2 linked regions of the Callithrix jacchus genome follow. Each later gene encodes a partner of the first gene's protein in a complex. Links are inferred from orthologs where the notes say so. Each region holds a gene or a part of one and is shown in the gene's direction. Other genes may lie near its edges.

Evidence for each region.
Region 2: the proteins of ARRB1 (region 1) and NTSR1 are in contact, whole or in part, in a cryo-EM structure (PDB 6UP7), measured with the Homo sapiens proteins. The link is inferred for Callithrix jacchus from reciprocal best matches to the Homo sapiens genes ARRB1 and NTSR1. Residues at the interface, in NP_004032.2 of Homo sapiens: Tyr63, Arg65, Asp67, Leu68, Val70, Leu71, Gly72, Leu73, Thr74, Phe75, Arg76, Lys77, Asn245, Thr246, Ala247, Gln248, Tyr249, Lys250, Lys284, Arg285, Gly286; in NP_002522.2 of Homo sapiens: Ser93, Leu94, Gln95, Ser96, Leu97, Gln98, Thr100, Val101, Arg166, Ile170, Pro173, Lys177, Phe286, Ser287, Met288, Ala289, Ile290, Ala297, Leu298, Gly301, Ser368, Asn370.

Annotation. Positions count from the first base shown.
Region 1 is NC_133511.1:65,673,137-65,688,360, forward strand, and holds part of ARRB1 (beta-arrestin-1), read left to right. Parts: intron 1-1,170; coding exon 1,171-1,230; intron 1,231-2,076; coding exon 2,077-2,144; intron 2,145-4,449; coding exon 4,450-4,585; intron 4,586-5,582; coding exon 5,583-5,667; intron 5,668-6,111; coding exon 6,112-6,184; intron 6,185-8,775; coding exon 8,776-8,913; intron 8,914-10,007; coding exon 10,008-10,091; intron 10,092-11,288; coding exon 11,289-11,312; intron 11,313-13,713; coding exon 13,714-13,784; intron 13,785-14,943; coding exon 14,944-14,995; intron 14,996-15,146; coding exon of another isoform or gene 15,147-15,168; exon of another isoform or gene 15,169-15,224. UniProt on the Homo sapiens protein: Functions in regulating agonist-mediated G-protein coupled receptor (GPCR) signaling by mediating both receptor desensitization and resensitization processes.
Region 2 is NC_133506.1:58,244,164-58,260,141, forward strand, and holds the start of NTSR1 (neurotensin receptor type 1), read left to right. Parts: upstream 1-7,643; 5' UTR 7,644-8,047; coding exon 8,048-8,761; intron 8,762-15,978. UniProt on the Homo sapiens protein: G-protein coupled receptor for the tridecapeptide neurotensin (NTS). Signaling is effected via G proteins that activate a phosphatidylinositol-calcium second messenger system.

The DNA of each region.
Region 1 (15,224 bases):
ACTCAGATCAGCTCCCCACTTGCCTGGCTGCCTAGCTCGCAATCGAGGGATGGCAAGCAGGTGATCTTTCTGCCCCACTGCCTTTCAAATCAGAGACTTTGAGACATTGGATTTCAAAATCTCATGTTTCTGGCCAGGCACAGTGGCTCATGCCTGTAATCCCATCACTTTGGGAGCCCAAGGCGGGCAGATCATGAGGTAAGGAGATTAAGACCATCCTGGCCAACGTGATGAAACCTCTACTAAAAATACAAAAATTAGCTGGGTGTGATGGCGTATGCCTGTAATCCCACTACTCGGGAGGCTGAGGCACAAGAATCTCTTGAACCCAGGAGGTGGAGATTGCAGTGAGCTGAGATCATGCCACTGCACTCCCGCCTGGCAACAGAGTGAGACTCTGTCTCAAAAAAAAAAAAAAAATCTCATGTTTCTTAGATTCTCTGATTCTGAGATTCAGTGCAGTCCCTTCCTTAGCTCCCTATGGCTGCTGGCTGCTGAAACAAATTGCCACAACTCTGGTGGCAATTAAAATAACACGGATGTATACGCTTACAGCTCTGGATGTCAGAAGTCCCAAAATAGGTCTCAGTGGTCTACCATGGAGGCATGGCAGGGCTGGCTCCTCCGGAGGCCCTCGGAATGTGTCCACCTTTTCCAGCTTCGCTTTCCTCGGCTCACAGCACCTTCCTCCATGGTCAAAGCTAGCGGTGACTGGTTGAGTCTTGCACATCCCGTCACTCTGGCGTGGACACTTCTGCCTCCTGCTTCCACTTCTAAGGACCCTCCTGATTCTATCGGGCCCACCAGAACCATCCAGGATACTATCCCCATCTCAAGGCCTTAATTGGATCTGCAAAGTCACTTTTGTCATTAAGGTCCCAGGTTTTGGGGGGTTAGGGTGTGGACATCTTTGGGGGACCATTATTCTGCCTACCACAGTAGACATCATAGAAAGATCTATTTAAACTATTGCTGTGAGGACTGGGCTGGGCCAAACCCTTCAGATAAAGAAAGCTCAGACACTTGGGCATGGCTTGGCATGGTCTGACGGGGTAGACATGGCCTGTTCCGAGGGTGCCCAGGTCTGATAGGTGTATGGGAGTGTCTGGGGTGCAAGACATGAGAAAAAGGTGGATGTGACAGGTGCTCATTCTGTATCCCTCTCGACAGATCCCTCCAAACCTTCCATGCTCTGTGACATTGCAGCCGGGCCCCGAAGACACGGGGAAGGTAGGTCACCCCAAGGGGACCATCTCTCTGGCTCCAGGACTCTCATGTCCCCAGGTCCCTGGTTTTCTCCCTGGGAGGTGCTGGACACACAGTACCCCTCTTCCTGTTGAAGAGTTTTTGTGTCTAGGCTAGGCTGGTCCCACCTTGGACAACCAGTCTCTCTTCAGACAGGGCAGCAGGTATGGGGTCAGCCTCACTCTCCCATCCAGTGGTGGGTCCGGAGTCCCTCCTGAGTCACCCTTGCTGGTCGTGGTGTGGGCTGCAACAGGACCAAAGTGTTCTGAGGACCTATACCTGGCCTCACGTAACCCCCTGGCAACCTTGATTCAAGGCGCGATCATCTCCATTTCTCAGATGAGGAAACTGAGGCTTGGAGAAACGTGACACCACTAGTGTCCCAGGCTCTGGACCTTTGAGCCCAGCTTCCCCATCTGCAAAGTGGAGATCACAGCATGTGCCTCCTTGTCTTGTTAGAGGGATACTGGAGCAAGCCACCCAAGGCCAGGTCTGCACACAGAAGTGGGTGCACCCAGTCTGCTCAGGTGCCTGTTGCTATTTCTGAGCAGCAGCCTGGATAAGGATAGCCACGCAGACTAAGGCAGGAGCCCGAAGAGCAGAGCTGCGCTAGGGTGGTTTGGGATGCCCCATGTCAGATGCAGGAGGCAGTACAGCTCTGGGGCTGAGCACAAGGGCATTTCACAGCTTCTTCCGGACCGAGGAGGGCTGGGCTGTGGGAGCTTGGTGTTCCCGTCCAGTGTCCTCGTTTGTAAAATGAGAGGTGGGCTGGCCGCGCACTGAGGATGCTGCTTCTCCAAGGCCCTGCAGTCAGTGAACCCTTCCCCACAGGCTTGCGGTGTGGACTATGAAGTCAAAGCCTTCTGTGCAGAGAATCTGGAGGAGAAGATCCACAAGCGGTGAGTAGGATGCCCGGGTGTGGGCTGCCTGCTTGGTGAGGAGGGAGACAGGATGGGCAAAGTCCAAGAGGAGATAAGTAACAATACCTGGAAGTGTGTGAGGAGGGGTGCACATTCCAGCCTTGGGAACTCTGAGAAGGGCACTCTGGAAGCCGGGAGGTCACGGAGGGCTTCCTGGGGGCGGTGGCTTCAACTGCCTGGGTTCAGGCTGCAGCATCTTCTCCTTTGCACCACTGTGGCAGCTTCCGCTCTCAACTCCCTGCCCCTCATTTCATCCCCTCTAGACTGAATGTCTTTTTAATTTGTTTTGGAAAAACCCTAAACTCAGATTGTGTTAACCAGTGAGCAGGCTGTTTCCTGACCATCCCCATTTTCCAGTTTTCCTCCTGGGAGGTGTTCAGCAGGGGTGGAGTGTGTGTCAATGACAGCTTCTGAGAGAGGAGGAAAGGAGATAGTGAATCCACCCGGGGAGAGTGATGGAGAGGTCGGCCCACATCTGAGAGAGGGGAAGCGTTCTCTGGAGAGGCACAGCCCGGGCAGACTGAGAGCCCAGGCTGGCAGCCAGAAACAGCTGGCCCGGATGTCTCATTCCTGCCCCTCTTGGATCAGGCTGTGCTCTGCCTGCCTCCTGGAATGGCTGGCCTCAGGCCCCCCAGACGCTGATGGTCCTGCCTCCAGAGACACTGTTCCCAGAGAAGGCTGGGGAGGGCACAGCAACCTCTTTAGGGGGAAGGCTGAGTTTGCCACCTGGTGGCTGTAGGGTGTATTGCATGCATTTGCATCTGCAGCCCAGACTGCTGTGTGTGGGAGATGGGACTTTTCTCCCTTGCTTCCCTGTCTCCCTTTTCCTCTTAAGACCTGAGACCAGGGAAAAGGACGGGTGCTGTGAGATGTGGGAGGAGGCTTGGTAGGCACAAGAAAGAGGAGGTGACTTTGAGAGCCACCCTCTTACCCTACCACCAATGGGACATTTAAAATCCACACCAAGGAGTTACTAAGAATAATGATACAGAAGCTGTCATTTATCAAGGGCTGACTAGGTGCCAGACACCATTCACGGTGCTGGGTGTGTATGAACTGATTAAATCCTCACAGCAACTCTAAGAGGTAGGTCCTGGCTGGGCGCAGTGGCTCTCACTTTGAAAGGCTGAGGTGGGCAGATCACTTGTGGCCAGGAATTCAGACCAGCCTGGTCAACAGGGTAAAATCCCATTTCTACTGAAAATACAAAAATTAGGTGGGTGTGGTGGCACATGCCTGTAATCCCAGTTACTCGGAAGGCTGAGGCAGGAGAATCGCTTGAACCTGGGAGGCAGGGGTTGTAGTGCGCTGAGATCACGTCACTGCGCTCCAGTCTGGGCAACAGAGTGACACTCCATCTCAAAATAAATAAACAAATAAAAATTTAAAAAGGAAAAAAAGAGATAGTTCCTTCTATCGTCACCCTTACAGATGAGGGAATGGAGGCAGAGAGAGATTAATGCACCCAAGGCCATGGTAAGAAGAGAACTGGAAGTTTGACCTCGGCTCTCTGGTTCCAGGCAATAGAGACAGCTTATCTGAGCAATGGAGATGCCAGCATTTCCAGCATGCTTCAGAGATGGCCTCACCGAGTCCCTCTCCCTCACGAGATCCTCGTTTACTCGCTGAGCCCCTGTAACCTTCATGGAACCAGTTTCATCCCTGGGCCTTCTCCCCTCCCTGGGGTTGTCCCCTTCATTGGCTGGCGTCCCCCTGACTGAATCCACAGCTCCTCCCTGAACCCCAACACCTCCCCAAGCCCCATTTCTTCATGGGGCCCCGTTCCCTCTGCATAGTTCTGCATAGTAGACATCTGACAGGTGTTTATTGTATGGCAGGCACAGCGTAGGTGCGCAGAGTACTGCTGTGAACACTTCAGACACAACTTTCTGCCCTTAAAGAGCTTATACAAATAGTTTCCTACGTGACCAAAATAGATGACAGAGGGACACTGTGTAAGGTGACATAGGGAGGCAGGAAGTGAAAATGTCACCTGTTTGGTGGCATAGGGAAGCAGGAGGTGAAAATGCAGCTCCTGTTTCAGCATCCTGCTGGGTATCAGGACCCCTGTGCGGCCACAGGGCCGCTCTGGACAGAACAGGGGAGGATGGAATGGGGCCAGATGGTGACGGGACCCCTATGCTGACCTCTGCAGTTTGGCTGGATTCTAAGGCAATGGGGCGCCATGGCAGTCTCTTGAGCAGGAGAGTGATGTGAGGCTTGCTAGGAGAGGGGATGAAGGCAGTTGACCCTGGTCTTCTTTCACTCCACCCATCTCCATTAGGAATTCTGTGCGTCTGGTCATCCGGAAAGTTCAGTATGCCCCTGAGAGGCCTGGTCCCCAGCCCACAGCCGAGACCACCAGGCAGTTCCTAATGTCGGACAAGCCCTTACACCTAGAGGCCTCCCTGGATAAGGAGGTAGGAGACTTGGCAGGGGGTGGGGGCTGCTCCACCAGGGCCTGACCTCAGATCCCTGCTCTCTCCTGGCCTGCGGGGATGCCTCAGGCAAGAGCTTTTACCCCCAGCCTGAGGACCACAGGGCTCAAGGAATCTGAGACCTCCCCTGGGGGATCTGGAGAAGCCTCTTGGGCCTAAAGGAGTGGCAGAGGGGGCATGAACCTGAAGGATGTGATGGACTTCGGAAGGGAGCAGAGACCCTCCCGAAGGTCCTGGACATCCTCCCCCACCTCCACCAGCTGCCTGCCTCAGTCCGAGAGCTGAAGGCCAGCGAGCTCTGCAGAGGGGACAGGGGAGGTCACGGCCTCCCCTCCAACCCTGAGCATCAGGACAACGAGCCCTGCAGAAGGAAGGGCCTCCCCTCAAGCTCTGATTCAAGCCCAGCTGACTGACGCCTGCTGTGAGCTCAGGCTGGCCCTTCCATGAGGTGTGGGCACTCCCCCTTCTAGGGGCATGGCTGAAGGCACGTGCCTTGGGAAGATGCAAGTTAAGGCCTTTTGGGAGGGATTCAGAGCTGGCTCCCTCCGTGAGCTGGTCAGCCACTCCTCACCTTTCCCTGCTTCTTCCAGAGCCTTCCATGGACAGATTTTAGAGCTGGCAGGGTCTTGAGACATCACCCAGTCCAACCTCTTCATTGCACAGAGGGAGACCCTGAGGCTTAGATAACCTACCCCAGGTTGCACTGCTTTTCTCATGTCGTGATTACTGGTGGCCAAACCAGGACTGGAGCCCAGGACTGTCACCTTCCAATTCCATTATCTTTCAAGGGTCCCTCCAGGGAACTGAAGGGCTAGTGTACTTGGTTCCTTAGCAGCAATGGGAAGCGGCTGATGAACTTAAGGCAAATATCAGAATGCCCAAGGTCTGAGGAACCCAGGAAGATCATGGGGGGCTTTTCTCCCTCCTCTTTCCCTAGAACCTTGCTATCCTCCCAGCCATTCCTTCTTATGCCCCCCAGATCTATTACCATGGAGAACCCATCAGCGTCAACGTCCATGTCACCAACAACACCAACAAGATGGTGAAGAAGATCAAGATCTCAGGTACCCCAGGCAGATGATCAGCGTAGGGGACAGGAGAGGCAATCTTCCCATGGGCTGGGGGTGGCTGAAGGGTCTGCCTTGTCAACAGCCTTGTATAATAAATACAAGGGCCTGCCCTGAGCCACAGGGCCCCACTTTTGAGGCGAGTCAGGGAGGCTGTTTATTGGCCAGGTAATGAGTTCATTCTTTAAGCCACCTCTTCTCTTCAGTTTCTTGGGTTCTGGGCAAAGCTGTACTTGAGGAGAAGGCTTTGGTTATGGAAGGAAATTTGTGTGTTTTGGGGCTACCCTTTGGATGGAAGACAGAGGTAGTCTCAGGCAGAAGTCCCTACTGGTGGCCTGTGGCCATTGCCTGGGGCTGAATATCCCCAACCCCAGGAAGCCTGAGAGACTCCATGGGAGCTGCATTCCAGACTCGCTCAACCTCATTCCTCTCCCTCCCCAGTGCGCCAGTATGCAGACATCTGCCTTTTCAACACAGCTCAGTACAAGTGCCCTGTTGCCATGGAAGAGGCTGAGTAAGTGAGCACACATCTGGCCTTGGGCATGTGGGATTGGGCGGGAAAAAGCTCTAGGTATCCTGTTACAGGTCCAGGTGTCTCTTCTTCACCTGGCAGAGGGCTGGGCCTCAGAATTCCTTGCCACTCAGAGTAGATGATCCCAAAGAGCCTTTTAGAAACCATCTACCTGATTTAGCTACAAGAAAATGCAAGGTACAATCAAGGAAGAGACCCACTAAAACTAGAATGACAAAACAAGAGCTAATGAATGTAAGGGGATTGGGATTGGGGAAAGAAAATAATTACATTGTACAAGAAACCTAGGTTGAAGGGAAATACTTTGTTCTGAGCTTCCTGGTAGCCAGGGCAAAGTAGGTAAGGCACTAGGTGCACAGTCTAATAAAGGGTAATCCAGCTCACTGGGTAAAGGGGTTGTGTGTGGGAGTGTAGAGACTAATTATACACAGACATTAAAAAAAAAAATCTAGGTTTGAGGAGAACTACTATGGTTGAGTGTGGACTGAATTTTGTCCCAAGCTTGTTGGCAGTTAAGGCAAGAGGAGAGATCTCAAGTGAAACATCTTTACTTACCTAAAGGAAATAAATGCTCCCATTTAAAGACACACACAGTCTTTTTCCTGGCCCTACAAGTAATTTCTTGGGGCAATTACACCTGATGTAATTTTACTGTGTATGTGTATTTGTTTATATATAATTCCAATCAGTATTTTTTGCAACTTCAAACATTTAAAAAATTACTAGATGGCCTTGGAGACAGTTTTTAATGTCCTGTAGGTGAACATGCTATGTTGAGATCAAGCATTCTCTGGTTACTGGATATTTTTGATATTCACTGTTGTTCTTTTTTATTTTTATTTATTTACTTATTTATATTTTGAGACAGAGTCTCACTCTGTCACCAGGTGCCAGGCTGGAGTGCAGTGGTGGGACCTTGGCTCACTGCAACCTCCGCCTCCTGGGTTCAAGCAATTCTCCTGCCTCAGCCTCCTGAGTAGCTGGGACTACTGGCGCACGCCACCATGCCCAGCTAATTTCTTTTGTATCTTTAGTAGAAACGGGGTTTCACCATGTTGACCAGGATGGTCTCAATCTCTTGACCTCGTGATCTGCCCACCTCGGCCTCCCGGAGTGCTGGGATTACAGGTGTGAGCTACCACGCCCAGCCTCTTGTTCTTTTTTTAAAAAAATCAGAGCCATGAAGCATAGATTCCAGATGGTAAAGTGAAGTGATCTAGAACAGAGTAACATATAATCCCTGAAGGGTAGAACATCCCACCCCCGCAGATGGTGCCAGGGTCTGCGTAACAGATCCCAGCAGGGGTGGCTGGGTAGGCCTTTGCACTCATAGGCTTGTTTACTTCTCAGGAAGCCCATGGGGCTGGGGTTGCTGCTGCCCCAGTGTGTTGAGGAGGAAGTGGCTAGAGAGATGTGACTTGTAAGCTAGCAAGCAGCGAAGCTGGGGCTGGTGCACAGGTTGTCTGACTCCACGGCTTGCTCGCTATCTGCTGCATGTCAGCTCTCTCTTTGGAAAGGATGGGGGATAGAGCAAAAGCAAGCAAAAACTGGACAATCAAAACACACTATACATGATGGATGCGATAAAGCAAGTGGAGTTTTAATTGTTGAGCCTAGATGGTGGGTATGTGGGTGCCCAAATAGTTTCATTTATGGTTTATGTGTCGCTATAATTTTTTTTTAAATTTGTTTACAGACAGGGCCAGGTGCAATGGCTCACACCTGTAATCCCAGCACTTTGGGAGGCTGAGGTGGGCAGATTACTTGAGGTCAAGAGTTTGAGACCATCCTGGTCAAGATGGTAAAACCCCATCTCTACTAAAAATAAAAAAAATAGCTGGGCGTTGTGGTGCGCGCCTGTAATCCCAGCTACTTGGGAGGCTGAGGTAGGAGAATCTCTTGAACCCAGGAAGTAGAGGTTGCAGTGAGCCAAGATCGCACCACTGTACTTCAGCCTGGATCACAGAGCAAGACTGCCTCAAAAAATAAAATAAAATTTGTTTAGAGATAGAGTTTTGCTCTGTTGCCCAGGCTGGAGTACAGTGGTGCGATCTTGGCTCACTACAGCCAGCCTCGAACTCTTGGGCTCAAGTGATCCTTCTGCCTCAGCCTCTCAAGTAGGTGTGCACCACCATACCAGGCTAATGTTTAACATGTTTTGTAGAGATGGAGACTTGCTCTGTTGCCCGGGCTGGTCTCAAACTTCTGGCCTCAAGTGATCCTCCTGTCAGCCTCTCAAATTGCTGGGATTATAGGTGTGAGCAACTGTGCCTGCTGTGGCTGTCATTTTTTAACTAAATGTGCTTTTTAGCACTGTGCTGCTTGACTATGATAATCTCTTAGAATATCCCAGATCCAGTCCTGTTTGTGCATAGAATGTGGATGTGCCTTTTTTGAGTCGCAGTGGTCTCCGGAGCTGGGCTGGCCCAAGTGGTCCCTGTATCTGTGGGGGATAGAAGTCAGGAGAGGGAGGCTTGGAGCAGGGCCAGACTAGACATTCTGCTGGGCTGGAGAGCAGGGCTGGGGTTGGCTCTGGGGAGGGCCAACTCCACAGCTGCTTCCTTTCTTCCCAGCGACACTGTGGCACCCAGCTCAACGTTCTGCAAGGTCTACACACTGACCCCCTTCCTGGCCAACAACCGTGAGAAGCGGGGCCTTGCCCTGGATGGGAAGCTCAAGCATGAAGACACGAACTTGGCCTCTAGCACCCTGTGAGGACCTGCCCGCCTAGCCCTGGGCTCCTGGTGCACGTTGCTTTTCACCCTCCTTGGTCCCTCCAGTTCAAAGACAAGGCTCAGGCTACCCTCTCCCCAGCCTTGTCCAGGGCCTGTCCTCAGGTGCTTGACTTATCAGGGAAGCTACCTCCTTACTCCCATCCCTATCCAGGGGTGACCGAGGGACTAAGATGGACCAGTAGGCCAGCTCACTCAGGCAGTACTGGGCTCTGTTACCAAGTCCGGGGAAGGGCAACCTGGGAAGGCTTCCTGCAAGAGGTGGCAGCTTCTGACCCAATGCCTTCAGTCAGATGGGGTATCCCTGAGGAAAGACCAGGGTGGTGAGCTGAGTTAGACCCAACATGGGGTGCCCCTCCAAGTCAGTGGCCCCAGGGCCTCTGGTCACTCCTGCTGCTTGGTCATCACAGATGCCTCGAGGCTGCTCCACTCCAGCAGTGCTCTGTGTGTGGGGCTGCCATCTTTCCCTCTTGCAAGTGTGGTCCTTCGTCGGGGCTTTGGCCTGTGTCTAGAGCAGCCTCCACTCCCAGCATGAACTCAGCTCTCTTCCCAGCAACTACACATCCTCCCACTTACCTGAAGCTTTTGGCCCCATCTCCACCCTGGCTCGAACTTTACCCATCTTCAAGACCCAGCTGAGGCACCACCTCCACGGAGAAATCCTTCTCTGACAGTCCCCACCCCACCCCAGCAGCCTCGCTCTCTGTGAACTTCCCATCTGGCCCTTTCTGCTCATAGGTTGCTGAGAGAAGCAGAGTCCATCTGAGGGGAGGAGGAGCCTGCCCCTCACCGTGGGGATGCTGGCCTGGGCAGGGAGAGGGGCTCAACGTGGCCACACAGCGAGCGAACCTCACAGCCAGACGTGCAACTGGGGCTCTGGCTCCCCGCTCCCTAATGGCATAGCTTGCCTTCCTCACCTCCACTGGGCTCCACACTGGGCTCTGTTGGACATGGTGGCTGAGAGGCCAGCCAGATAGGGGATGGATAGCCAGTGCCCCCCAGCACACCCACCCCTGCAGGGTCTCGCGCATCCCTCGAGGCCACTGAACCGGCTCCCCTGTGTCACTTTTCAGGTTGAGGGAAGGCGCCAACCGTGAGATCCTGGGGATCATTGTTTCCTACAAAGTGAAAGTGAAGCTGGTGGTGTCTCGGGGCGGGTGAGTGCTCTAGCCCAGCCCAAGATCCCTAGTGCAGAGGGGAGCATCCCAGATGCCCACAGTCCCCTGCCCCATTCTGCCTATTTGCTGTCCTTTCAGCTGCATCCACCTTGGAGCAGGACCTCCTGTCCCTTCGCTTCCTCCCTTGTGGTTCCTCTTTCTCCTCCCCTGTCCACTTTCCCTCTCTTCCATCCTTGGCCCTCAGCCCCTCCCTCAGCCCCCACCCATCTCTTTCTCGCTCTCCTTCTCTTCTATCCTGGGTCTGGGCTTGCGCTGAGGATTGGCCATGCCCAGGCGACAGAGTCCTCAGAGTCTATGTTGTGGGGTCCCCCAGAGTGCCATATTCCTCATCACACCTTGGGACATAGCACCCACCCCCATGCATGCCCAAGCTGATTTTCTGAGGAAGCAGCTAAAAGGGCTCAGAACCCACAGCTGGATTGGGGATTTGCTAGCTGGTCAGCTTTCCCATTTTACAGATGGTGAAACAGAGGCCCAAACAGTGCCCCAAACATTGCCTGAAGTCTCCTCCCCTAACTCAGGTCATGGGCTGGGGTCACAGCAGTGGACCAGACTTTCCTGCCATGGAGCGTAATTTGGTGGAAGCTTGGGGAGGAAAAAAAAAAGCAACTACCTTTTCTGTGTGTGCGTAACTTAGTTCATACATTTCTATGAAAAGATTGAAAAGCTGAATCCCATTAGACATTGGGTCTCCTTGGTTATTAGAAGAATGCCTCTTGGCAGGTGGCACTGTGTAATCCTGACCTTATACAATAGGACACCTGAAGATTACAAATCCCAAATGCTGTGTCTGGTGACCTTTCAGGACCCACAGTCTCTCAAACATTCTTGGCAACCCCGGAGTCCTTCCCTCTGCCTTTAGATAGCCCGGCCTCCCTTGGGGTAGTTAGCACCAGGGTTAATTTTCACACTGCCTTCACAGATGAGGATCCTGGGGCTCAGGGGGTTTTTGAGCTGGGTCTAGATCCCAGTCACCCAGGGCAGCGCTAATGCCGTTTCTACATATCCCTGAATGAGCAGTCAGGGCTGTGCCGGGTGGGGCGGGGGCGGGTGGAGTGTGTCCCGTGGGTCTTCTCTATCTGGGGGCAGCAGAAGTGGTGAATGAATGTGCTTTTTGTTTTCTTCCTCTCTGAACTCTCTCCTGACCACTTCTCCTGCCTCCTCTGACCCACCCAGCCTGTTGGGAGATCTTGCATCCAGGTAAATTCCTCCCTTCCACCTGATTCACCCACCTTCCTGGAGGGCCTGGAGCCGATTGGCTTGACTGACCAGAATCACAGGGCACTGGGTTGGAAGGAATCTTGGTGGTCATTTCAGATTGCCAGGTTCAGGTGTGAGCTGGGAGACACTGTTTCTCTTTAACAAACCTCACTTTGCTCTTCCACCCGAGTGACAGGGACCTTTACAGAGAGCAAAGCCCGATTGCATTGATACAGGGAGTGGCCCCCAAGAGGGCTGTTTGAATTACCGATCAATTGAATTATAGGAGCTTTTGGAGAAATGCAGACTTCATGGCTTTCAAACTTCCGAACTAATGAGAATGAGCTGCTGCTGGCTGAGAGTTGCTAAGGAGAGGTCCTCTTTTGTAAACACAGCTTCCTTGCAGCCAGCTTGATGCACTTAGATTCCAAACATGTCTGTACCCTACACACAGCAGTTTGGCCTTCTGTCACAAGATGGCAGTGTGGCTCATCCTAAGAAATCTTAGCCTGATTTGACAGGTGAAATTCGTTTAATTCAATTCAGTGTAATATCATTCAGCAAGGATTTCCTCAACCCAGGCTGGTACCTAGGCTGGTGCTGAGTGCCAAAGTCCCAGAGAGGAATCAGATGTGCCCCCTGCTCTTATCGTTCCTGGCCTGGTAGAAGATTAAGGTCCAGATTCTTTCCCTAATGTTGGCAAACTTGCTCTTCCACCAGCTCCCCAAAGCAAAATGAAAAAAAAGGAAGAAAAAAAGTCCAAATAGTTCTGACAGCCTTATAAAACCCCAGGTTCCCACTGGGGGAAGTAATGATTATGGCAGGCACAAGCTTCACATTTTCATTTTATATTTTTATTCTTTTTGAGACAAGGTCTAATGCTATTGCCCAGGCTGGAGTGCAGTGATACAGACTTGGTTCACTGTGACCTCCTCTGCCTCCTGGGTGGAAGCCATCCCTCCACCTCAGCCTCCTGAGTAGCTGGGACTACAGGTGTGCACTACCATGCCCAGCTAATTTTTGTATTTTTAGTAGAGACGGGGGGTGGGGAGTGGCATCTCACCATGTTGCCCAGGCTGGTCTCTAACTCCTGAGCTCAAGGGATCTGCCCGCTTTGGCCTCCCAAAGTGCTGGGATTATGGGCATGAGCCACTGTGCCCCGCCAAGCTTTACAGTTTAACTAGCATTTAGCTGCCTCACCTCTAGGAAGTTCCAGTGGCTCTAGAAGACAGGTATTGTTATCCCGACTTCGAAGCTGAGCTCAGTGAGACTCAAAGCCAGAAATTGCTGCGCCAGCGAGTGGCAAGGCTGGCAGAGCAGACCCTTCTAGTTGCCTAGCTTGTGCCTCTGACCACTCCGTTCCCTTTCCCTTTCTCCTTCCCAGCTGGGCTCTGGGCAACAAGATCAGTGAGATGTGGCCTGTGCCTGGAGGCACTCACAATTGGGGGGTCTCCTAGGGTGATGCCACGCCAAGCTGAGAGGAGCCTTCGGGGTTGCTTTTGTTAGTCTCAATCCTGCTACTGTCACACAGTGGCCAAGGGTGTGGTTATGGAGCCAGAATCTGCTATCACTTACCGTTAATAGCTGCATAGCCTTGGGCAAGATATTTTAATCTCCTCATGCTTCAATGCCCCAGTCTGTATACTGGGGATAATAATAGGGTTGTTTCGAGATTAAGTGAGTTACTCTATGGAAGGGGTTTACAGTAATCCTTGGCATAGTCAGCACCATGTGAATACCTGCTCTTATTCTGTCCGTCAGGGCCAGACACAGAGAAAGCCCCATCAGTAGCACTGGCTGGTGGCTGGGTCTTCCCGACCACTTTCCCCCGCATCCCCACAGTGTGGACAGCCTTGGCCCTGGGGCCATCCTAAACCTGACTAAACTGACCTCAACAGTGCTTCACCCAGATTGCAGGGGGACTAGGGTCGCCTGAGCACTTTCACAAGAGCGCCCTGGATGTGTTGGGAGATGGGATGGTGTCAGGGCAGGAGGGGTTCCAACCTGGAAGCTGGGAAGGGCAATGTCAGGGGAGGAGAGGTGGCAGTGGTGATCTGAGGTGGGCAGAGTTTCAGGGCACCTCTGGAGCCCCGCAGTGACCATGGTGCATGCTGCCCTGGGCAATCCTTGCCCACCCCTTGGCCTCCTCTCAGCCTGTGGGAACCCAGGGAGCCGTCTCAGGAAAGGGGAGCCTTCCATTTCTTTTTGGAGCCAGAGGAAGTCTCCTGGTCCAGCTCCCAGGCAGACCGAGGCTCTGAGTGGAAAACTGGGGCTGGAGGGCATCTTTGGGATCTACCTCCTCTGACAGCAAAACCCTCCCCAGTCTTTGGACTGGCAGCGCATCGAATCCCACAGCCTTCGAGTCTGCTCAAGGCTCACTGGGTCTGGGTCTCTGTTTCAGCGACGTGGCTGTGGAACTGCCCTTCACCCTAATGCACCCCAAGCCCAAAGAGGAACCTCCTCATCGGGAAGGTGAGCAGAATCTGTGGGTCTCTGGGGTAGGGGTTCTCCAGCAGCTACCATGTGACCCTGTAACCCACCCCTTGCCCCGGGTTTGCTCTCAGCCCAGGCACCCTTTTCTCAGGTCCCCAGATCTTTCGTGGGGTCCAGAACTAAATTTGCTTCTGACCCTACCAGGAGACAGTGAGGCACAGCTCCTGTTCCCCATGGGAGAGGGAGGCCAGGAGAGGAGGAGGGAGCTCATTGGCCATGCTTTGAGCCTCTATCTTGCACTCAGGCATGGGCTGGGTCCCGTTTGGAAGTAGGGGAAAGGGCTGCATGGATAAGATGACTGCTGGACACCATTGTCATGTTTTTCTTCTTCTTCTTTTTTTTTTTGAAACAGAGTCTCTCTCTGTTGCCCAGGCTGGAGTGCAGTGGTACAATCTCAGCTCACTGCAACCTCTGCCTCCTGGGTTCAAGAGATTCTCCTGCCTCAGTGTCCCAAGTAGGTGGGATTACTGGAGGCTGCCATCATACCTGGCTGATTTTTGTGTTTATCGTAGTGACAGGGTTTCACCATGTTGGCCAGGCTGGTGTTGAACTCTTAACCTCAGGTGATCCTCCTGCCTCAACCTCCCAAAGTGCTGGGATTACAGGCGTAAGCCACCGCACCGGGCCTGTCATGTTTTTCAAGTGATACCAGATTTGTCATATTTCATTGAATCCGAGACTTTCAGTAGAGAGAGTCATCATAGTAGGTACGATTAGGAAAGAACTTGCATGGCTAACCTGTGCAATGCCGTCAATGGTAAGACACTCCAAGTTCAGAGATGTTAAAATGTGAAGGAAAAATTTTTAAAAAAGTTGTCTTAGAGTTGGTGAAAGGCATGCATGCAAGGAATTAACGTAAGTCATGTTGGAGACCTGTCAAAAGGAACAGAGGTCTGGAGGATTTTCTGCTCTTCTGGGGCTGCAGCGGGCATTTGGGCCCTCCTGGTGCCTTCCTCCCTGCCTTCCAGATAATTTGGGGTGTTTTAAGACCAAGAATGAGTCCTCCCCTCTCCATTCCCCTTTTTCCTTCGCCCTCCTCATGTTAGTCTGGTTGTCCCAGGGTGGGGACCTGTGCCCACTTGCCCCATGCTCATCCCTCACTAACCCCTGGACGTCCTGCCCACTGCCCTGTGTTTAGTTCCAGAGAACGAGACGCCAGTAGATACCAATCTCATAGAACTTGACACAAAGTAAGCCGAACCCTGCCTGCAGACATCCGGGTGGGCGGGCCGTGAGGGGGGCACAGGGTGGAGGGGGTCATTTGCATATATGCTTATTAACCCCTGAGGAGCCACTGGTGTAACCCCATCTGCTGAGAGCCGCCTCTGCTCGCCTCTTCAGCAACCCGCTTGCCTGCATGTGACTTGAAGGACCCTCCGTGCCTGTTCCTCTTCCTCCTGCCTTGGTGGGGTCTGTCTT
Region 2 (15,978 bases), on another chromosome or scaffold:
GAGGCGAAGGTCAGCACAGATGCAGCCAGGGTGGGCAGAGGGAGCCTGGGAGACCCTGAGCCCCTCATGCTGTCTTAGGGGGGAGAGGTCTGGCGCATGGCAGGGACTGGGCCCCAGCAGCCTCTTCCACTTCTCCAGCCCACACCTGCCATCCTTCACTCTCTCACCATTCAGTCAGGCTCTCTGGACATGGCCAAGTGTGGAATGCTCATAGCTGGCCTGCTCTGGGGACAGCACCCCAGCTCCCTGAGTGTCCAGTGCACCAAAGATTCTTTTGGAGAAATTTAGGGGACTCCAAGGACAAGCACTGGCTTGGAGCTGTGGGGCCAAAGGCCTGGTTTACAGGGGGGTCCCTTGAGCTCAAGGCTGGATCTCCCAGCACATCCTTGGCACAGGAGGGGGCCAGCGGGTGAGCAGGGAACAGGGAAGGAGTGCAGAAGGAGCCCCCACCCCTCAGACACCCTGGGTGCAGCCAAATTGGAAGGCCCTCAGTGTCTGTGTGGCCACCCTACTCTCCTGCAGGCTGCAGCCCTACACGGTAGCACACTTCAGCCCCCCCACCGCCCGCCTCTCTCCCAGTGCTCCCCTCTCTCCCAGTGCTCCTCTCTCTTAGTGCTCCCCTCTCTCCCAGTGCTCCTCTTGCCTCTGCATCAGGCACTCACTCCAGCCTTCCTGCCAGGTGTCCTCACTCCTGTCCACCGAGCAAATGGACCTGAGCTGGGGCCCTGAGGGGCCACGTCTGCTGCATGCACATGGCTTAGAGCCCCCTGCACAGTGCCATGCTCCCCACTGGGCTCCACGCCTCTTTTTTTTTTTTTGAGACACATTCTCTGCCACCCAGGCTGGAGTGCAGGGGCTCAGTCTCGGCTCACTGCAACCTCCACCTCCTGGGTTCAAGCCATTTTCCAGACTCAGCCTCCTGAGTAGCTGGGACTACAGGCATGCATCATCACTCCCAGCTGATTTTTGTATCTTTAGTAGAGATGGGGCTTCACCATGTTGGCCAGGCTGGTCTCAAACTCCTGACTTCAAGTGTTAGGATGACAGGTGTGAGCCCTGCCCTCGTCTGCACCTCTTGTGAGAGCCTTTGTTCTGACAGCCTGCATGTGCTGCTGCTTTCACGTTTGGAGTGCCACCTGGAGCTCTGTCAGTGCGGCACCCCATCTTCTGCCACTGCTGCAGTGAATTCCATGTGATGAACACCTCGCCACTCTGGAGATCAGGGTCTGAATGGGGCTCCCTGGGCTGAAGCAAAGTGCTCAGCTCCCTCTGGGGCTGCAGAGGAGACCCCGTTCTGTTGCCTTTCCCCTTGTGTAGGGCCCCCTGTATCCCTCAGCATCTGGCCGCCCGTGTGGCTGCTGCTCACCTCTCTCAGGCTGCTATCATTCTGGTTCTCCTTCTGCCTCTCTTCCTCATTTAAGGACTTTTGTGACTTCTCTGGGCCTAGCACGGCCTCCCTATTTCATGGCTGATGAGCTGCCTTAATCCACCTGCCCCCAATCCCCTTTGCCAGGCACCCCAACAATACTCACAGGTTCTGAGGAGTCTGACGTGAACATCCTTGGGGTCCTTACACTCCCCACGGTGTGGGCTGCCCCATCTCATCCACACCCATGAACATTAGGCACAATTAACATCCCCATATTTCAGACGAGGAAACTGAAGCTTGGGGTCACCTAAGGCCACTCACTGTGAAGGTGGCAGAGCCAAGATGTGAAACCCCGGGTCAGACTGCAGATCCCGAGCCCTCTGCCTGGCTGGGTGGAGCAGTTTCATTCATGCTGAGAAAACAGCCCCAAGAGGAGAGGGTCCCAGGAGCTCCAGCCAGGAGACGGGGCTCCGTGCATCTGAGCAGAGAGAACACAAAGCGTGGCAGGGCGGGCGGAGGACACCCTCCTTCCTCCCCGCTGGGCACAGCTTTCTTTGCCAGGTGCATGCCAGCTCTGGGGAGAGGCAGCAGAGCCTCCCATGGGGTCTCAGAGCAAGGACAGGACACAAGACCGGAAAGACCTGCTCCTGCCAGCGGGACCCTTTGAGCCCCTGTGCCTGGGAGCCCAACACACACGCCGGTGTCCACACGTGTGCACACATAGACTATGTGGACAGCAGGCAGCTCACAGGAAGACTTGGGGGTGCTGGTGCCCAGGCAAGGGGAGAGGCTGAGCAGGTGAAGTGCCAGCTGTCCCCTCCAGGTGCTCACGATCTGCTCAACACACCTCCCTATCCACCGGGTACCCAGCCTGTGCCAGATCCCTGCAGAGCCAGGTGGAAGGCAGATGGCTCTTGGGGGCACATGAATTAAGGGAACTTGGCTGCTTCTGCCCACTAGGTGTGAGCCCTTGAGCCAAGGCTCCCTAGGAGGCTCTGGCCTCCAGGCAGATGGCAGACACACTTGTTGATATATGTTTGACGACTGCATGAGTCAGACCATCCTGCTGAATCAGAGCCCAGAGGAAATGTATGATTAAAAAGTGGGCCGGTTACAGAGCAGCCAGCTCTCCACGAGCCATGGTGGGTTTGAACTAGAAGATTCCTGGCTTCTTAGCCATGGGAGGTGAAGGAGCCCTGGATGTTTTGGGATTTGGCAGGAGTGCTGAGACCTGGTCCCAGAGGGGGAGACCTGGGCTGGGAGATCAACAGAGCAGGAGAGAGCACGGGAAGGGAGGGGAGCTACAAGAGCAAGCTCCCACAGCCACGGCCAGGGCCACCGCAGCCCCTCCCACAGCCACTGCCAGGGCCACCTCAGCCCCTCCCACAGCCACTGCCAGGCCACCCTCAGCCCCTCCCACAGCCACAGCCAGGGCCACCTCAGCCCCTCCTACAGCCATGGCCAGGGCCACCTCAGCCTCTCCCACAGCACCCAGCCAGTGCCACCTCAGCCCATCCCTCAGCCACAGCCAGGGCCACCCTCAGCCCCTCCCACAGCACACGGCCAGGGGACCCTCAGCCCCTCCCACAGCACCCAGCCAGGGGACCCTCAGCCCCAGCTGCTTGAGACTGAGAGGGCTCCAGCTTCCAGTCTCTGGACTTTGTCTTAAAACCTTGAAAGTCTGAGGAAAACTAGAGTGAGTTGTTTGTCCTACCCCAAGCCTCCCAGCCTGCCAGTGCCATCTTTCTCAGGTGACCTGGGGGATGGTGGAATGGCCACCCCGGCTTGCCTGAGGCGGGACAGGATCGCTGAGTGTCTGTGACACTGACGGAGACCTCACATAACTCTGGTGGCCGATCACTCTCCATCCTCAGCCAAGCATACCAGACAGCTACCACAGCGTCCGGAACGTGTCCCCACCCGGGCAAAGGCGGAGTGTGGGGCGGCACTCCGGGCCATCCTCCTCCCACACAGCCTCTCCAGCTCCCTGCGGCCACCAGGCTGAGCCCTGGCCTCTGCGGAATGAAGTGTGTGCACACCATGAGATGCTCACTGCAGCCTGCTGACCAAGGGGCCCTGTTGTGCATTTCACATACAGGGAACTGGGGGTCCAGGCCTGGTGAAGCTGGGATTCGAAACCACCTCCTCTCCAGCCTGTCACCCCGACCTGCCCTTGGCATCCCTGGCCTTCCGGGGAACTCTCCCCTGCAGCGGCTGCTGTGCTCATGGGCAGCGCACCTGCTCTGTCTTCTGTTCTCAGAACACAGTTCATGTTTCCAGAAAGCTGGCCGAGGTCCAAGGGGCGACCTGGGGATGTGGGGCACAAGGATGCCGATGACTGGGGCTTGATCCGCCTGTAGGGCAACCGCCAGAATCTGCCAATGGCCCCAGAGATGGCAGGGGTGCAGCCAGCTCGAGGCTGGAAATGGCTCCGCCCTCCTCGCTGGCCTGCTAACAGTTCTCTACGTGAATATATGGGCACCTGTCACTCGATTCTTAAAGATCCTCCTTGGAACACCATGCGTCCTGGAACATGTGCAATTTCCATGCTGTGGGTGGGAAAATCTACAGCCAAACTTTACCGATTATGTATGTTATGTGTCTTCTGTGCCCCTAATTCCCCACCCGCCTTCATCCCCATAGGAAATCGGCTACTGATGAAATAATAGGGCTGGGCGCAGTGGCTCAAGTCTGTAATCCCAGCACTTTGGGAGGCCAAGGCGGGTGGATCACGAGGTCAAGAGATCGAGACCATCCTGGTCAACATGGTGAAACCCCGTCTCTACTAAAAATACAAAAAATTAGCTGGGCATGGTGGTGCGTGCCTGTAATCCCAGCTACTGAGAAGGCTGAGGCAGAATTGCCTGAACCCAGGAGGCGGAGGTTGCGGTGAGCCGAGATCGCACCATTGCACTCCAGCCTGGGTAACAAGAGCGAAACTCCATCTCAAAAAAAAAAGAAAAAGAAATAATAAATGCTTGTGGTTTTCAGCCACTGCTGAAAACAGTGGGGCATTTTGTTACACAGCAATAGATACTGAGAGAGGTGCTACTGTAAACTCACTTAATTTTTTTCAATATAGCAAGAAGGCTTCCTGCTAGCAACAGTGGTTGGGGGCCTGAGAGAAGGGAAGCCTGCTGGTGTGGCCTCGCTCAGTTCACCCTCACATCTTCTCCACGAGTGCAACAGCAACCCACTGAGCGCCAACTACCTACCAGGCAGCGTTGGAGGGACTCAGGGTAAGCTGGTTAACAAAACAAGCAGAGACACCCCCCCCCTCCCCCCCCCCCCCCCCCCCCCCGCTTAGGAGCAGCTCCCAGGGACTGTTCATGTGGTGAATCTTTGGACGTGATTGTCACCCCAGGCACAATGTCATTACTTGCTTGGTAATGAGGACATGGCCTTGCTCATACCACTCGGAGAATCACAGAAAGCCAGAATTGTCCCCTGCATGCTGGCTGCCCCTCGTCAGCACTCCCACTGCACCCTAGAATCTAAACCGTGGTGTCAGCAGGTCTTGGCCCTCGCTGCTCACGGGACCAGCTGGCTCCCCTCCAGCAGGCAGCATTGGGAGTGTTGGGATCGGGGGAGCATATCCCCAAGGCTCTCCAACTTGCAGGAGACACTTGCCCCTGCAGCCCTGCCCCCCACAAGGCCATGCCCAGCTTCACCTGTCAGTGAAGGCATCAGCCTGGCCAAAGGCGTGACTGCATCACCAATGGGCACAACAGGGCCCAGCCTAGCCCTTTGCCTCAGCACAGCATAAGGCTCACCCCACGACCCTATGGGGCCATCAGCCCTACACCAGGTGCCTCACCAGCACTTTCTTTAAAGAGTCTCAGCTGTTTAGGAAGGGCTCCTGTCTGCAGAAATCGGGAGAGAAAGAGGCAAACAACGTGAGGTTAAAAGCTTCCAGCTGCTGAGCCATTCGGCTCGCGCGTGCACAGGAGAGCTCAGAATGGCCGAGCGCGCAGTGTGGCCGCCGGGGACCCTCACCAGGGGCCCACTATACACCTTGTTTAGAGCAAGGCCTTTCAAGTGACATTTTCCTATGTGCTTTTAAGCAAATGCTCCATCACAATATTTGCACTAAGTTGCCTTTTATGATTTTTTAAGCTCCCAGGCTAACTCAAAGATAAATCTTTGAAAATAAGGGCGGCTTAGTCAAAAGGTCAGGGGATTGAAAACCAAACAATGAGCTTTGGCAGAGGGAGGGCACGATTCTGCTGCATCCTGCTCTGGCTGGCAGAGCGACAGACCCCAGTGCCCATTACTGTGGCCTTCCTCTTTGTGGGGGTCTCAACAGAGGCACCTGATGGCCCAACCCATGGTCAGTCCCCAGGGTTATGAAGACAGTGGTGAGTGCCTGGACCTGACACGGTCCAGCCCCTGGACTCCCTAGTGTGGCGTGGACACTAAGGTCCCCTCTGTACGCAACCGGTGAATTGCCTTCCAGAGGACAAATCCAGCCTATGCTAGCCTACAGTGATGGATCACCTCACCTCACACCTGACAACCCATTCAACCTCGTTCATTCCCCATGGAGACCCATCAGGAACAGCCCTGCCCTTCATTCAGCTGCTATTCCCATTTTACAGACAACTCAGTTCAGGCACAGAGCCGCTAAGGACACTCATCCAAATCTGAAGTAGCAGGGCTAGCGTTCAAACCCCATCTGCTGGCTTCTGAGCCTACTGTCCTGGCTTCCAGCAAAGGGACCAGTGGCGTTTCCTTTGATGCCAGGATTTCTAACCTCAGATTTTTGTGAGCTGCAGCTCCCTGAGAAGAGTATCAGCTTTGGTTGAACAGACCAGCCCAAATCGGGGTAAGAACAGAGTCCCGCTGCCAGCCATCAGTTCAGGAGCCTCGAATTCTCCCAGCTGCGCGGGTCTGGGAGGGGGTTTCTCAGCCTCCTGCTTCCCTCAACATCCTGCATCCGCCACACCAGCCTGGCCAGGTCTCCTGCTCCCAGCATAGCAGTTGCAGCCAGCGAAGTCCACGAAGGCCAGGCTGGTTCCTGGGCTGCACCCAAGAAGCCCCTCCAGCCCCTGCACACAGGGAGCAGCAGCTCTATCCAACCTCTCCCCGGGGTTCTGGGAGGAGGGAGCAGGGGAGGGGGCGGGGAGGGCCTAGAGAAGTGACAGTTGGTGCCCTGGGGGCCCCTGGGCAACCCAGACGTGGGGGGCAAGCTTGTGCCTGACCACCTATGCCAGTGCTGCCAGGTGATGGGAAGCAGGTAAAGGACAAGAATCTCACCGTCACCTGGCTCCCAACTGGGGACAGAGGCCACCCTGTGAGGACACTCAGTGGTAGGAAGGGTGTCCGGTGCTGGGACTGCCCCTCCCAAATCCTGCTGGGGCTCGGGCTCTCAGGATGACTTTGATGACAAATCCAGGCAGTAATAAGGGGCCCAGAGGGTGCCCACTCACACCCCATAGCGTCATGAGACCAGCCCAGGGTGCCAGGTGTGGGCCCTGAGTGGGGAGGGTGCTGTTCTGGGTGCCTGCGTTCTGCCTTCCCCCATTCACCCCTCCCCAGACTTTGATGAAACCAGACGTGGCTCCTGCCCTCTGCAGGACCCAGCTGCTCAGCCCCTGCAGGTGTCCTCAGTACTGCCTCAGGCCATGCTGCCCCAGGTGATACCTATGCCCGGAGCCCCCACCATTCCCACTGGGCAGGTCCCAGAGATAATGCATTCACAGACCATGCGTGCCCATGACGCCAGATTTTAAAAGGAATTGCAAGAAATGTAATCTCCAGTGGTCCTAGAGTCCTCCTGGCACCCAGCTTCTGGCACCCTGTGGACACCCAGAAGTGGGGGGTGGCCCAGTCAGCTGTGCAGCCGCCCAGCCCTATCAGCGGGAGCTTCCTCTTTCCCTGCCCTCCGATACACCCTCACTGGCACTGAGCGAGCCCGGGTAGGGGGAGGTGCACAGTTCCCTTCCTGTGGGGAGCGAGAAATTGCGGAGAACAGGGAGGAGGGTGGCGAGAAGGGTCAGGTGCACGGTACCGGCCGCACCCGCCCGGAATTCTGATTCCCTGGAGCGCTCACCCAGCTCGCACTGTCCCAGGGGAGTGCCAGTGGGGGGGGGGTGACTCTCCAGGATGCACCCGGGCGGGATGGGGATGGCTGCGGAGGCTGCCTCCCTCCTCCTCCGCCCCCCATTGTTGGGCGCGGCGCGCGGCCTCGGGCTCCATGGAGACGTGCACAGCCGGGAGGGCGGGGACGCGGCGGGAGGTGTGCGGGGTCCGGGGGCGCGGAGAGCGCGAGGGAGGAGATTGGGAGCGGCGGAGGGAGCGCGCCGGGGCAGCCTTGCGTGCGCTCCTCCCGGCGCCAGCAGCCCGCCCTGTGCAGCCCAAATCGGCCCGGACGCTGCCTCCCGGGGGCCTGGGGATCCGCGGGGTTTGGAGATCCGAGACAGCGCGGAGCCGGCGACCAGCACCGAGCCTGGAGACAGCCTGAGGAACCTCAAGGTCTGGAGCCGGGAGTCCGGAGGAACGCGGAGCCCGAGGCTGCGCGTCTGGGTCTGCGCTTCCCGGCTGGACGGCGCGCCCGCTGTCTTCGCCACGAGCCCTCCCCTGGGCTCCCTCTCCTGGGTCCCCGCCGGAGGCGCGCCCACTCCCGCCCGGACTTCCAGCCCCGGAGGCGCGGGACAGAGCCTCGGACCCCGCCTCCCGATGCACCTCAACAGCTCCACGCCAGGGGTCCCGGGCGCACCGGCCGCCGACCCCTTCCAGCGGGCGCAGGCGGGACTGGAGGCGGCACTCCGGGCCCCGGGCTTCGGCAACGGCTCGGGCAACGCGTCGGAGCGTGTCCTGGAGGCGCCCAGCAGCCATCTGGACGTGAACACCGACATCTACTCCAAGGCGCTGGTAACCGCCGTGTACCTGGCGCTCTTCGCGGTGGGCACGGTGGGCAACGCAGTGACGGCATTCACACTGGCGCGGAAGAAGTCGCTGCAGAGCCTGCAGAGCACCGTGCACTACCACCTGGGCAGCCTGGCGCTGTCGGACCTGCTCACGCTGCTGCTGGCGATGCCCGTGGAGCTGTACAACTTCATCTGGGTGCACCACCCCTGGGCCTTCGGTGACGCTGGCTGCCGCGGCTACTACTTCGTGCGCGACGCCTGCACCTACGCCACCGCCCTCAACGTGGCCAGCCTGAGCGTGGAGCGCTACCTGGCCATCTGCCACCCCTTCAAGGCCAAGACCCTGATGTCCCGAAGCCGCACCAAGAAGTTCATCAGCGCCATCTGGCTGGCCTCGGGCCTGCTGGCGGTGCCCATGCTGTTCACCATGGGCCAGCAGAACCGCAGCGCCGATGGCCAGCACCCTGGGGGCCTGGTGTGCACGCCCACCATCCACACGGCCACGGTCAAGACTGTCATCCAGGTGAGCATGGGTAACCACCCGCCAGAGCCCTCCCTTTTCCCCAAACGCAGTGCCAGTGGCGTGCCTTCTGGGTGCAGGGCATGGGAGAGGTCACAGAGACAGTCTCCTTCTGCGAGGCTGGGAAGGTGGTTGGGGCAACTTGGGGCAGCTCCAGAGTTGCTAGGCTCAGCTCCTGTCTTCTCCCCTCCTGTTGAGGGGATGGAGCCCGTGCCTGTCCCTGGAGTCCATGGCCGGCCTCGGATGTCTCTGAATTCCTTAAGATCTAATGGAAACTCATGTGTGCTGGCACCAGTGTCATGGAAGGAAGAGGCCCCTTTCATCAGCTTCTCAAAAGGCTTTGTGCCCCCAACAGGTGATGTTCCTCTCCTCTGTAGAGTGGCCCCAGACTGGCTCTGCCAGTGCCTCCCAGCTGCCTCCCCTGGCCCAAACATGGGAGTCAGCGGAACCTGATGCCACCTTGGGCCAGTTCCTAGTTTAGCCTCAGCTTTCCAGTCTGCATGATGGGGTAGTCATGGCATTGACTTCAGAAGGTTGAGCATTCAAGAGACAACGTGTGGGAAGTGTTTGCATGGCCCCTGACATGTAGAAGCGCTCACAGGTGCCATTAGTGCTGGATGGTGGGGATGGTATTTCTGCTGGGAAGGTTATGAGGATCTCCATGTAGCGGTGGCATGTGGTAAGGTGCATAAAACTGGAGCCGAGTGGCCAACGGCCCTCCAAGGATCAGAGCAAAGCGCTGTGGGAATGCAGGTGGGAAGCCCCCTTGGGAATCAGTTTGGCTGAGAGGTGCATGGCATGGGGGGTTCCAGCACTGGAGGAGAGGGCTGGTCAAACCAAAGCCCTTAGCAGGAGGCTGATGTCCAGGGAGGAAGTCAGGGCCAGTTGGCACTTTGAATGACATCTTGGACTTGAGCAGCCTTGGAGGTGTGGAGTTTCCTCCATTCTGGGTGGGCTAGGAAGCCACAGGATGAAGGATCCAGGCAGAGTTGCCCACCTCTGCCCAGCTTGGGTGGCTGGCATTTCCCCCAGCTCCCCCGACACCAGCATCGGCAACCTCCCAGCTGACTTTCTGTAGCTGCCTGGGCATCTCACATATGCCAGTTTGCCCAGTGGGGGGAGGAAGCAGTGCCAGGCAGGGCATCACCTGCCTATTACTCACTGGGCCCTAACTGACACCCCACTGGCCACCACCCTGGTGGGCTGGGGGTTGGGGGGTTGGAACTAAGTTCCTAGTTCCCCCAGCTGCATGTAGAACTCGTGGCTATAGGTGTCCCATTGGGGAGGCCTCTCCCACAGGCACTGGTGGGAGCAAGAGTCTGCAGTGAGAGGCCCTCCCCCACCAGAGGCAGCAACAGGCACGGCCCTCGAGGCGAACAGTGAGAAATGACCTCTTGCTCCCCTTGAGCCTTCGTCTGCTCTCCCCAACCAAGCTCCTGTCTTTGGGGTAGCCTCTCCCCAGTGTGCATGGAAGGGCCCCAGGAGCAGCAGCCACTCAGCCCTTCAGACAGTGGGCAGTGGAGGGGTCAGCGCTGTCACTGCTCACCCAGCAGGTGCCCCTGCTCAGACAACCACTCTGCCCTCTCCCCTGGCAAAAGGCCAGGAGCTCACAGGCCTCCTGCAATCCTCAAAAACAGCCGCAAAGCACAGGGGTGTAAGCACAGCTCAGCTCCGCCCCCAGAAAGCGTCCTCCCCTGCGCCCGGCCTCTCTGCCAGCCGGTCACTTGGGACTGGGCACCTACAGGACATCCCTTCACCTCCCAAAGCGCCACCTGCCCAGCCTTATTGCTCAGAGGCTGCGAGGCAGATTGGGCTAAGTCACGCTACGTCCAGCCACAGTCACTCATCAACTCTAAGAGGCCGCATCAACCCTGGGACAGACCCCAGCCCTGCAGACACGGTGCTGGCCGAGCATTGCTGAGTGCTCCTGGCATCCTCCACACCCTTGGAGAACATAGTTTCCATTTTTCTTTAACGGGCTCAGCCGCGTGCCTGGGAGTGGCTGATTACAAGGGCGCTCCTCCATCTGAGGCTGACGGCCAGGGGCTTACCAGGCCCCTGATGCCAGCTGCTATGTGGCTCAAAAAGAACATTCCTCGTCAGAGAGGCCTGGCCTTCTCCACCCCGCCCTGCCATCCGCCATTTTACAAGAGGTTTTTCCGGATGAGGGGGTTTATGTCCCCGCGTGGGCTTCTGGGCCGCTGGCAGATCTGCGTGAACAGCTGCTATTTTCAAACGGTGATATCTGGCTGAAGAGGCCTGGATACCCTCAGGGAAGTGTCTCCCTCTCAGCGACGAATTTGGAAGTGCTGGGGCAGTGGCCAAGCAAACAGCCCTCTTTCCAAAACAGGGGTCCTTTCCTGCCCCGGTGTCTCCGAGGAGTTTTGGCCTGGGCACCTGCAAACAGAAATTGTGTTTGGAAATGAGGCGGCTTCATGAGAACATTCTGGAGCAACAGGATGATCCTCCCTGAAGTTGGCAGGACACTTTCCGAGTGTGTAGCCAGGGACAGGAGTAGATAGTGGAGCTGGGCTCTCAGGCCAGCAGGCAGGACCTGGTGCCCAGGACCCCCCCAAAGGCCCCAGACCTGGCCCCGGTGTAGCAGGGCGACTGGGAGGAGGTGCTGGGGACTCGGGGACCTCCAGGATGCCCGACCCCTTCTCGAACCCACCTGCACACGTGACCCCACACAGGCAGATGGACCTTGCTCCTCCATGGTCCCCCATGGCCTGGGCCCAACCTCCAGCTTTGACCTCAGCTATGAAGGGTCCTAATGGCACGGGCTTTGTGTGACAGGGCTTAGGGCTGATGGCACAGGTTGTGGACCAGCAGAGTCCCACACTCATCTGTCCAGGGAGTGTGTACTGAACGTGTGTGTGCCCAGGACCCACAGTGGCAGGGTCCTGTGAGTTCCGGTGTCAGATTCAAATCCGATGAGATGGCTGCAGCCTTTGAAATGGTTTTAGAGACCCGCCGCCCACCATGGCCACACACAAAAGCAACCCCCCCCCAGCCTCGAAGGCACGAGTCCATTAGACCCTCCTGAGTGGCCATAAGGATGCCTTTCATCATGCTTTCATCACTGCCATTTTCTGCACCAAGGGAGCCCTGTTCCTGCGGGCTCGGCCTCCCTGTCTGCTCCTTTGTTTCCTCAGAAAGCCTCCTTCATACTTACTTAGTACAAACAGGAGTGTTCCTCACTGGCTTAGAGTCAGAGGGCACCCCCTCCCTCAGGGGACGGAGGGGGCCTCCATTCCTGCAGGAGAAACTGGTGACCCACAGCCCCTGCTACGGAGGCGTCCAGGAGCAGACAGATTGCAGGGCAACTGGGCCAACACCCTGGCCGTTCAGGACAGGCAGAACCCTGGGAAAGGAGCAGCACTGAGGCAGGGAAGGAGACGGAGTCCAGTGAACTCTGGCCATGGATTGTTTCAGGGCTCCGTCCCGTGCCCCAGGCTGCACCCAGCAACCTCTGAAGGCAGAACCCTTGTTCTTAGAAAAGATACAGGGGTGTTCAGAGTGTGGAGTCTGCAACTGATTCTCAGATCGTTCAGAAAAAAAGGCCAAGTGAAAGGAGAGCAAGCAGGTAATGAATCAAGTGAGGAGACTGCTCCCGGGGCTACGGGCGTTGGGCTGCAGATCTGCGCGGGGCAGTTGAGGGGTCTTCCTCCTACAATTGTTCTGCAGCAGGAACTTTTTCAAGTTAGAAAGTTGCAGGAAAGGACGGGCGAGGTGGCTCACGCCTGTAATCCCAGCACTTGGGGAGGCCGAGGCGGATAGATCACCTGAGGTCAGGAGTTCGAGACCAGCCTGGCAAACATGGCGAAACCTCATATTTACTAAAAATACAAAAATTGGTTTGGTGTGGTGAAGGACGCCTGTAATCCCAGCTACTCGGGAGGCTGAGGCAGGAGAGTCACTTGAACTCACAGAGGTTGCAGTGAGCCAAGATCGCACCACCACACTCCAGCCTGGACAACAAGAGAAAAACTCAGTCTCAATTAAAAAAAAAGAAAGTTGCAGAAGAAGGAGTTCTTGAAGGGGTCGTTAGGGACAGAGGCGTTTACACCAGGGAACAGCCTGCCCAACTCTGACCTCCCCTAGGGACGGGAAGGAGGACCTACACCATGCAGCCCCGGGCAGCTCCCGCTCTGGCTGTGGCAGCCACAGTGTCCTCATCTCCAGCCCAGGGCATCGAGTGCTGTTGGTGCAGGGCCAAGAGCCACGCACTTCCTCTAGTCTGAAAAGGCCAGGACCCTTTAGAAGAAAAGAAGGGAGGCTGGGCGCGGTGGCTCACGCCTGTAATCCCAGCACTTTGGGAGGCTGAGGCGGGTGGATCATGAGGTCAAGAGATCGAGACCATCATGGTCAACATGGTGAAACCCTGTCTCTACTAAAAATACAAAAAAAAAAATTAGCTGGGCATGGTGGCACGTGCCTGTAATCCCAGCTACTCAGGAGGCTGAGGCAGGAGAATTGCCTGAACCCAGGAGGCGGAGGTTGCAGTGAGCTGAGATCGCGCCATTGCACTCCAGTCTGGGTAACAAGAGCGAAACTCCGTCTCAAAAAAAAAGAAGGGAGCATTTTTCCTGCCTTTTCTATTCAAAAGGTAGTTTAGAGTAACCCAAGAGTAGAGGACGGGCACTGTGTCAGCACAGAAACATCCCAGTCAATACGTGAAGAAGGAGTGGGATATTTATTAGGATACCACCCATCGGGTGCAAGGCTGATACATTAATGGATGCAGCCACCAATTCTTGACAGCCACTACTGTCATGAAGGGGAGAGAGTTAGGCGTGAGGTGAGTCCTGGTGTGCACACACCCCATGACATCCTTGGATCAAAGTCATTGAATCTGATGGAGCCCCTGATGCTGCTGCCACACACAGGACACACCAGAGACAGAGGAACTGGACAAAGGCACCGTTAGGATGCAGCCAGCTAAACCTCCGGACAAACGGTTCATTCTGTCCTACAAACAGTGAGGGAACCGGAGATGGTGGCCTTGAATTTTTAGTTATTTATTTTTTTTGAGATGGAGTCTTGCTCTGTCACCCAGGCTGGCATGTGATGGTGTGATCTCAGCTCACTGCAACCTCCGCCTCCCAGGTTCAACAGATTCTCCTGCCTCAGCCTCTGTAGTAGCTGGGATTACAGGCACCCACCGCCATGCCTGGCTAATTTTTGTATTTTTAGTAGAGACAGAGTTTTCTTATGTTGGCCAGGCTGGTCTTGAACTCCTGACCTCAGGTGATCCACCCATCTCGGCCTCCCAGGCAGCCTTGATTTTTAGCAAAGACTTGGACAAGTCAACCTGTCACACAATCCTGGAACCAAAGCCAGTCATTCTTCATGCCAAAAAGCAGCTAAAGAGTTTGGGGAGTTGAAGTAAATTCTTGTTGTCCAGAGTTATTGTGGGTATGGTTTTCAAAACGGTCCTGATCTCTTAGAGGTACATACGGAAGTGTTTACAGATGAAATGATGCAGTGTCTCAGATTTGCTGAAGCATGATCTGGGGGAACGGGCCCTAGGATGGCCACAGAGGGACAAGATTGGTCTGAAGTCTGTGAGGAAAGTGGGTGTTGATGACATTCTAGGTATATGTTTGAAAAACGTTGTAATTAAAAGTTTTCAAAAGGTTAAGGTGCTATATGTTGGAATAAAGAATTTGGCGTCTGAAATCAGATGTTCAGACTGTGGCTCTGAGGCCTCCGGGAGTAAGAGGCCAGGATGGGACAGGGAGGTGGCCTTGGGCTTGTTCCAGACACCAGACCTGCCCGTTGGGGCCAGGTGGGAGATGGCAGGTGAGGACGTGCAGACGGACCACATGTGTCCCCGTCTGTACCCCGTAACCCCTTTTCCCAGATGAAGCCGAGGACGGACCACCTGTGCACATCACGTGGCTGGAGAGAGACAGGGCCTAGAGGGGCTCTCAGCTGGGGAGGCCTAGGCTGACCCTGAGGTCTCTCCATGGGATGACACTCAGGCTTTTGGGTGTGACAGGCAAGGGTGGGAGAGTGAGGGGCTCAGAGCTGGCCACAGCGGCTCTGAGTGGGCTTGGAGTCCTCGGGAGTGACTTGCTCCAGAGAAGTTCAGGCTCACCTGTTCACAATTCTGCACTGGGACCCAGGGTCAGCTCTCCCGTGCTGTCCTGTACTCAGACTGACAGCATTCTGAGGACATTCAACTCCAGGGACAAATGGGGTCCCGGGGCTGTGCCTGCAGTTCTGTAGGTGCTGAGGGCAGCAAGCAGGTGCGGCCACCTGTACTTGCCACCCCACAGGCGAGGTGAGGCCTCAGGCAGCAGCCCTCAGATCTCCAGGGCTGTTCTCAGAGGTACCGGGGCTCCCATCTGGTCACATCTGCTGATGGGCACAGAGGGCCTAGGCTGAGCAGGGCCCGAGAGGGCGTCCAGCCTGTGCACAAGCCCGGGGCTGCCTTCGTTTTTCTGTCACAGAAATAAATGCCCACATGGTTCTCTAGCAGTTTATATTAAGAGAAGAAAAAGCTTTTCTTTATTTTTAACTCGTGGTGAAACACACATCACATAAAATGTGCCGTCTTACCATTGGTGATGGCACAGTTCAGCGGTGAGGAGCACGTTCACATTGCTGTGCAAACGTCGCCACTATCTGCCTCCAGAACCTTCTCTCTCCCCAAACCGAAACTCTGTCCCCATTAAACCCTGGCCCCCAGCACCTGGTAACCTCTCTTCTGCGTTCCGGCTCAGGGAGGTGACGACTCAGACTGGTGGAATCTGTCCTCCCCGGGTCTCCTTGACGCGGTTCATGAAGGCGCTTTATGTGAAAGACCCCAGACTCCAAGGTGCTGGGTGGTCCAAGCACTTGAAGTTCTGGAAACGGATGAGCCGTTGGGCCGGGGGAGGGTTGGAGGAGGGGTGGGTGGCCACAGGGGCGCTGGGAACTCTGGGGTGACGGAAATGTTCTGTATCTTGGTTGAGGCTCAAAGCTCATGGAGCCGTAGATTGAGGGTGGATCTCAGTGAATGTTAGCCCTGCCTCCCTGAGTCTGTGAGAAACAACAGCAGCAGAGAGTGGCCGAGCTGCTGTCACTCAAGGCTGTTTCGGGCGGCCGGGTCCTCCCTCCCGCAGGCCTGTGTGTGCTCCAGGCCTTCCTCCCCCGGACGGCCACAAAGGGCTTTAAGGCCCAAAAGAAGCAGAGGAATCGTGGGGAGCATGAGTTCCCCACTCTGCACCCCC